Daphnia pulex: one gene and its partner. The protein of the gene in region 2 binds, or shares a complex with, the protein of the main gene of each other region. Links are inferred from orthologs where the notes say so. Each region holds a gene or a part of one and is shown on either strand. Other genes may lie near its edges.

Region 1 (3,919 bases), on a different chromosome or scaffold from region 2:
ATTGAAATAGAATTCGTAGACATGTAGAGAGCTCAAGCAGATAAGCGTTGAGAAAGTAATAAGCCATTTATAGCGTAATGCGAACAGCGTAAAGATGAGTTCCGGTTATCGTAATGAACCGACCACTTCGGTCTCGTTACAAATGAAACAGTTTCTGCTGTTGAAATGACTATACGGAATCTTAATGACTAATAGTGATGGAAGCGCATGCATAGTTGCGGCGGTTAGGTGAAGGAGCAGCAGACGTGAATTGAATTGCACGACTTAGAGGATGACCACAAACCTGATGGATGTGTAACTGTTTGCGTTTTTTTGTTTTTTTTTGTTGAAGGGTAGGGTTGAAGAGGCGTAACACTTAAATATCTTATTGCTGACTGTCGGGGTAGGGTCCGGCCAAAAGTCGGTTAAGAAACGCTATGGCAAAGAAGACAAAGGGTATATGATCGTAACGTTTTATACGATATGTCGATTGGTCGTGCAAAAATTTCTGTTTCAGCCTTCAGCGTATCGTCACTATATAACGACGAGTTGACGGCTGAGGATGTGAGGCTGTTGTGACTCTATTCTGACTTGCGGGTTGGTCATTCAACAACGAGGTTTTTGACAACCCGTTTTAAACACTCACTCATACTGTAGGTATAAGTTGTATAATCACTAATCCACGCATCAATATTGTAATAACGAAGTACTATGAAAACTCGTCAAAAATTAAATTTCAAATTTGAAATTATTTAAAAGATCTCAGGATGTATAATTGTGTGTGTAAGGTGCTCGAATGGGAATAACTCACGTTTGTAGGGGATCAAGCCATCCTCATCCTCGGGGTCGCAGCAGGCAGCCATGATGTCATCGACTTCCTTCTCTTCGAGGCGCTCGCCTAGTTGAATAGCAAACGCGATAGTCAAATATTTCCGCCAATTTCAAAATGAAAAAGTTGATTTATCCCAGGTAAATATACCCAAAGCCATGAGGATGTGTTGGAGCTCTGCGAAAACCATGGTTCCGTTGTCGGACTTGTCGTAGAGTTTCATGCACTCAATGAAATCTTCAATGGTGCCTTGATCCTTTTCTTTCTTGATCTGGCAGAAGATGGGCAAGAATTCGTCAGCCTTGATCTTCTTCTCTCCTGTTGGATGAATGCGACATTTTAAAAATAACGTGTAAAGTAAACAGGAAATAATAATAAAAACAAAACAAAAACAAACATACCCTTCTTCTTTGTGCCACCCATTTTCTCGATTTGAGCCAAGGTGGGGTTTAGGTTAAGAGCTCGGAGGCAGTCTCCCAAGTAGAACATGTCCATAGTCTCATTACCCTCAAAATCGTAGATGGAGAAGGCGAATTTCCCCCCTGTTAATCAATCGAAACAATTAGATTTGTAGAATAAACAATTAATAACGTCCGTGTTTCTCTAAAGCGTCGATAGGGGAGAGCGATAACATTCTAAATCGGTTGCGATCGTTGAAATTCATCACCAGTAAAGAATTTGAAAGGAACGTTGGAATTGGCAATGGCAATATGTGGCAGCTGAAAATCGGGAAAAGAAATAAAACTGGAACGTCACGGAGTAATAGGGTGATATGGTCGTCTCACAATCGCATTTCTGGTGTAAGCAGCTAAACAGCAATAGCTCAGGAGCGTCGAGTAAGAGTAGAAGAAGAAGGCGTGTAAAAATAGATTGTGCAGACGGAATTCGGTCGACTCATCTATACGTGTGTATACTTCCCTTTCGCTCCCGCCACCCAACCACCACCCCGAACCACCCTCAAGTTCCTGTAGTGTAGTAACCTAATTCCTCCCGGCCAGTCCCTCTCCCTCGACTAAACTTAGCATCCCGTCCCAATCGGTGCCAAAGCAAACGCCAAGTCCTACACACTCCAATCCACACTGCGTATGTGTATAGGCTCTAAGCACACGGAACTGTTCTCGGCACCGAATGATGATGACCATACTTGGACACGCTTCCGTTTCCCGTATATGTAGGTTAGAAAACCCTTTCACTGGGAGGAGCATTTAGCACACAACTCTATTAAACTAAAAAGCTCGTGTTACAATTAACCGCATTGTTTTTTTTTCTTTCTTTGCACTACTAAGGTAAACAGATGAGGTTTGAAAAAGGAAACTTACTTTCAATGTCGCGAGCACTCAGATCCTGCCATCGAAGAAAGAAGGCAAAGATGATTAAAAGGCTTCGTCAAATCAAATGTGAATATGAAATTTGCTTTGGGGTTTTTTTTAAAAAAAAGTTGGGGGTAATAGTGTCTCACCATTTCTGCTGCTGGGGTTTTGTAAGGCTGAAGGAAGGAATCACAATCGAAATCCACAAAACGCGGGCACCGGAGAGACTAAGGCAATCGGGCAACATGTACCCGGCTCTTTTATACCCGCAACTAGAGGGCCTTCCAATCGATCCCGCCTCCCTCTGATCCTCCTCGTTTGCTTGTTTTTTTTTTTCCTTTTTTTCTTTTTTAAAAAATGTCTTCTTCTTTCGTGCAGCACCTCCCTTTTTTTCTCTTCTATTCGTCTCTAAAAGTCGCACACTTCCTTAACTGACATTGCATATTTAGGTCAATGCTAATTTCTGCTTCTCTCTCTCGTTCTCTATCTTTACTTGTGCTATTCGTAAGTTGGCAGTACCAACTCATGTCCCGTTACTGTCCTATCAGGCACATTATACGCTCTGCATGTGTACCCGATTAATAATCGACTTGTTATCCGTACAATACCTCGATCGAATGACTCATACGAATGACCATATGGCGATGATTTTTATTTTTAAGTCTCCCCGTGACTTTATTTTGATTTGAATTCATTCGGGCGGTTAGTTTAGAAATGTGGTCAGACGCAAAATATCGCGGACCGATCGACAACGTTCAAAAAAGGGTAGAAAATAAACAAGGAAAAAGAAACAGAAATCGGACGCTAGACGGTAGAGAGAGAGAGGAAAAGATTGTAAGGCAAAGTTTTCGTTCGTTTTTTTCTTTTCCATTTCTTTCTCTCTCTCGTTCTTCGCTGCGCAGGCGATTTAATTTTAGTTCCAGCTAGAGGAGTCGAATGGACAAGTTGAGCTACTGCGGAAGCTTTTTGGCAACGCCTCTGTCGGTGACGGGAGACCATATACTGGGAAACTAGGCGGCGGCGGGTGGTGGTGGTGGTGGTGGAACGTCGGGGGAGCAAGAGAGTAAACGGAGGTTTTTCTTGCTCAGCATACGGGACAAAGATAGGACCCACTACCGTCACGTTCTTGTGTATCTTCGACCCATGGTTGGACTTGTCCTTCTCTCCCCTGCTTGCCTCTCTCTCTCTCTCTTTCTTAGCTGCTCCAGTGTCTAGCAACAACAAAATTCTCTTCAACATCGGCGGCTATTTTAGCCCGCCTGTACGGAGCCGCCGCCGAACCGGACATTCACTCGTATATGTTACGCCGGTACCCACATCGGGAACCATCAGCGCGTTGGCATGCCTTCAAATCAGCATCGGGTTGAGAAACACGAACCAACCAAATCTCCTTTGAGGTTCCGAATAAGCGAATTAACCAAATGATTTCAGACGACGAAATTACAAATTTTTCCTGGATTTCCAGGACAAAGTTCTGAAGTGACTCGCGGCTCTCTGGCGTTACTACGTACCGATTCATTCCAAATATAACCCTACGCGGGCAGAACAATATCCAATCACAGCCACGCATCGAGCAACCGAGCGCGGACGTTGCGGGAACGCAGAGAAAAAAAAGTCCAATAGGTTTCAGAGTCGTTTCCCTGTATGGACTGAGAAGGTGGACACGTCATGTCAAGAGAGACATTCCCAGACTATTTGAGTGTTTTCAAGCCGATGGTGTGTGATGCTCTTTCAATGTGAAACTCTATAAAAGCAACACACAATGTTGGGAAGTTCGGTATTTAAATCTGTATAAAGTATA
Region 2 (3,891 bases):
AGTCTTTCTAAAATTAAACGTTGGGCTGCTCCCGACGGGTCTGGCCAAAAGGTAAATATATCCCATTTACTCTCTACACAAGAGCCAGCAGCCCTGCTGCAGGGCTCAAAACCCTTGAGGCTTATTGGCTCCAGCTCCTGGATTCTTTTTGCTATAGCTCATCTCTTCCAGTCCGGGTCCGGAAATAGCACTACTACTACTGTATGGGTATTAGGAGCAACTGGTTAGACCCGTCTATCGGACCAAGTTTGGTCTGACGACCAAACTCTGGCTGCCGATTGGTGGGAGCTGCATAGAGCCCAAGGATTCTTTTTTTTTTCCTTTTACTGGTGGGTGGGTGGAAGGATTTTTATTCAGGATTTTTGCACGCTTAGAGAGAAACAACTTACTGGTCAACATGTCCATGTAGGCACCGTCTGAGATGCAGAAAATGTGGGGAGGGACTTCGTTACGTCGCTTGCCGATGTACATCTTGATGACACGTTGGGTGTAGATCGGGAAACGCTTGTAAGGGTTGATAGCCACGCAGAAGAGACCGGAGTAGGTCTGTTGTTGTTATTTCATCGGAATCAAAATAATCAACTCATTAGCATGTGTCCTCACTTTTCTTTTTTTTTTCTGCTCGTGGTGTTGTTGTCCATTCAAACAACAACAACAACAACACCAAACCGAAGAAGAAAAACAACCAAAAACAACCACACAACACTCAGCAGCAGAACAAGGGAAAAAATGATGTCAAACCAAAAAGAAATAAAAGCGGAGAAAAGGAATAATAAATATGAAAATAAGAAGAAACAAATTTTCTAATTGGGCATTTCTGGCGAATAACGGGGTTCGGCAGAGAGCTCGTCTTTGAGGCTTCTGGATCCGTCAACACTCGAAATCAAACACGCACACACGACAGAGACAGAGTATATGAAAAAGGTAGAGGGTGGCAAATTCACACTGTCCTAAATTTGAAAATAGGACGAATAATCAAGTCTAAAAACGGACGAGGGAGGATGTCGACCCAAGATGATGATCGATTTTGGGGATGGAGGATCTATCATAGAGAGTGGTGTCAGTTGGGATTAGATTTGAATATGAAATTAGGTTATTAAAAGGTAGTGTGTAGACATGCAATCAAAATAGGCCTACCAATTCCCTTTTGGTTGTGGGAGTTGACAAAGAATATCACAGCAAACGAGGGATAGAACATCAGAGATAGGGGCTCCTAACTACAGCTGGAGCTGATAATATGAGGTGATTTTGGATGCATGGTTTGTTTGTTTGGCAGGGAGGTAAAAAAGGTTATAAGGTTAACTCCACAAGGCACTTACGTAGATAAGCTGGTTGGTATAACGGGCTTTCAAGTTCCATAGCACAGAGGCATCGTTAAGGTAGGTCAAGTTGGACATGTCCTCGCATTTCTCGTATTTGGGGGGGTTCACTTGACTGCACTGATCTTTCTTAAAGGTTTTCTCCTGTTATTTTTGTAATATTTGGTCGTTTTTTGGGCGGTTGGAAATACGGAGGGAATCGATTGGAGGAATTCCGGATAATTTGGAGGACCATCGGGAGGATCGAATTTTTGTTTTGTGGTGGGAAATGATTGGGAGGAAAGAAAAACGAAACAAAAAAGAAATTGATTAGTAGATTCCAGTTCTCGTTTCGACTTACATAAATCAGTTTGTGGTAGTAGCGCTGCCTTAGATTGTGCAAGACGGCCGCATCGTTCAGGTAAGTCAAATCTGCCATGTCTTCCACTTTCTCGAATTTCGGCGGATTGACCGGAAAGCACTGGTCTTTCTTGACCATCTTTTCGTTCTATTTAGTTTAGTACCCACCCCAAAAGAAATAAAAACAGCAGCGCAATGGCCAAATTTTAATTCCAAAATTTCAAAATCATTACTACTCTTCAACCCCCCCATCAAATTTTTAATTTCCAAATGTTTATAAACTGGACTCTTTGATTTGAAAGAATTGATAACAAGTTGTGTTCTACTTACGCCATCAGCAACCTTGACGACGACCAGGTCACCTTTGGTTCCAGTGATCTCACCGAGTTGGTAGCTGTCCTTCTCGCATGGGACCCAGGTGGCCTTCTTACCATCGTAGGGCTTGGTTTGATCAGCACGTTTCATTTCCAGGGAAACGAAGAGGTATTGGGCTGGGTCGGGATCGGGTCCCATATCCTTCTTGGGAGGCATCTTGTTGTTTCGAGTTGTTGATCAACGACGACGACGACAAAAAATCAAACAAGTTGATGAGAGAGAGGAGAGAGAGACGGTTGAAATTCGTGTGGGATTCGGATTGGCGGATCTCCTTCACACACGGCGGCGGGACAACACGCGTTAGAACAGCCCTGGAGCGCTTTCCTGTGTGCAAAACAACAACAACAACATCAGCCAATGTGAGCAACAACAATTAAAAAAGGACTGTCGATTGTGTTCTTATTTAAAATTATCAAAATCCACATCCGAGTTGTCACAACTTTGTGTAGGCTGGGCTTATCTAATCAAGGGGCACTTTTAAAGGCTATTAGGCAAAAATTGAATCAAAAACTGTGGGAAGTGAAGAAAAATTTACAAACAAAATTGTTTCGTCTACTAAAATCGAAAATTGTCAAAAGCCAAAAAAACTAAAAGTTTGAAAACAAAATGTTACAAATTTTGTCTTTCGAATTTGCAATAGGTAGGTAGGTAGGAGAGGCAAATCCTCGTGTGCACACTTACGTTCGAAAGCTGTTCAACTGTCTGTCTAAAGCGAACCAGGGCTCCTATTTAAACCCTAAAGGCGACTCCGCCCTCTTCTAGCTTATTGGTTATTCTGAATTTTTTCTTTTCTTTTTCAACATCCTTTACTTCCTTTTCTTCTTTCTTCTTCTTCTTCCTCTTCTTCTTCTTCCTTTTCAATTCCTTGTGACGGCCGGGGCTCAAGTATTTCGAGCCGAGAGCCAAAAGGGCCAAAAAGGCGAATGAACGGACATGGGAGAGAGAGGAGAAGGTAGAACTTGCACACACGTCTCAAAGGCAGGCCCATGCCTTTTTAAGGTGGCCCTCCCCCGTATATTCAGCGCGCACAGCTTCTCTCTTATATTTCTCGATATTCTTTCTTCTGTCGCTTTCATTCCCTTTCGTTCGTTTTTTTTTTCCCGCAGCCGCGCAACAAGGACAGAGGAGCCGTGAGCGATGGAATGCGGGCGTGCTGCACACAAGGCGCTTCTTCCCCTCTCTCGCTCACGCCGAGCAAAAACAAAAATCGAACGCGCAAGAAGAAGCACAAACACACAGAGAGAAATGGGTGAAAAGCTTTTTTTGGCACGAACCGAAAACACCCAAAAGGCTGAGCAGCTCTCCGCAGTGTCAATCTTTTCACTCTATAGAGCTTTTATATAATATTATTAAGCTGTTACGTAATCTAATCCTCCTCCCCATTACACCTATAAATGCTGTAATGGTTTTGATAGCGATCAATCGCCACATCGGAGGGTTGATTCTATTTCATCTTCATTCCGCATATAAAACTACTACCCAATTACGTAATGCGGTGCTAATGGACGAGCGATAGGCGTTGTCCACCTCTTTTTGAAATCACGCCCGAAAATCATCGACAGGATTTTGATATGAAAATCGGGAAGTAAAAAAGAAAAATAATTAAAATAAACAAAAGAAACTTCCCCGTGAAAGGAACTGGGGCATCTATACGTTTCGAGTTCCGTGCGGCGAACGCGGGTCTTTTTATAGACATAAGGTGACGGAATAAGACCTGCCGAAACCTACACGCTCCGGCAGCTGCTGCTGGAGCGTGTGCTGTGTACATTTCCTTAATATGATTTGCTTAGATCGTTCACAAACGCGGGGGATCGACTTATATTTATGTGAGGTGGAATCACTTTCAAATTGTTAATTC

Evidence for each region.
Region 1: the proteins of myosin heavy chain, muscle-like (region 2) and myosin light chain 1-like are in contact, whole or in part, in a crystal structure (PDB 5W1A), measured with the Drosophila melanogaster proteins. The link is inferred for Daphnia pulex from reciprocal best matches to the Drosophila melanogaster genes Mhc and Mlc1. Residues at the interface, in NP_723999.1 of Drosophila melanogaster: Arg25, Ile26, Ser29, Asp718, Lys720, Met721, Arg722, Gln724, Ile725, Pro728, Arg776, Leu780, Gly781, Ile783, Met784, Ser785, Trp786, Met787, Gln788, Ala789, Trp790, Ala791, Arg792, Gly793, Tyr794, Leu795, Ser796, Arg797, Lys798, Phe800; in NP_001287569.1 of Drosophila melanogaster: Phe14, Val15, Val18, Met19, Asp33, Arg36, Ala37, Asn39, Leu40, Asn41, Pro42, Thr43, Leu44, Glu78, Gln79, Gly80, Cys81, Asp84, Phe85, Glu87, Cys88, Leu89, Lys90, Leu91, Tyr92, Asp93, Lys94, Glu96, Ala103, Glu104.

What each region holds. Positions count from the first base shown.
Region 1 is NC_060024.1:12,182,163-12,186,081, forward strand, and holds myosin light chain 1-like, read right to left. Parts: upstream 2,403-3,919; 5' UTR 2,271-2,402; coding exon 2,268-2,270; intron 2,153-2,267; coding exon 2,128-2,152; intron 1,351-2,127; coding exon 1,210-1,350; intron 1,127-1,209; coding exon 959-1,126; intron 878-958; coding exon 791-877; intron 415-790; coding exon 365-414; 3' UTR 280-364; downstream 1-279.
Region 2 is NC_060026.1:1,464,578-1,468,468, forward strand, and holds the start of myosin heavy chain, muscle-like, read right to left. Parts: upstream 2,864-3,891; 5' UTR 2,715-2,863; intron 2,358-2,714; 5' UTR 2,190-2,357; coding exon 1,989-2,189; intron 1,807-1,988; coding exon 1,660-1,806; intron 1,464-1,659; coding exon of another isoform or gene 1,320-1,463; intron 547-1,319; coding exon 390-546; intron 1-389. UniProt on the Drosophila melanogaster protein: Muscle contraction.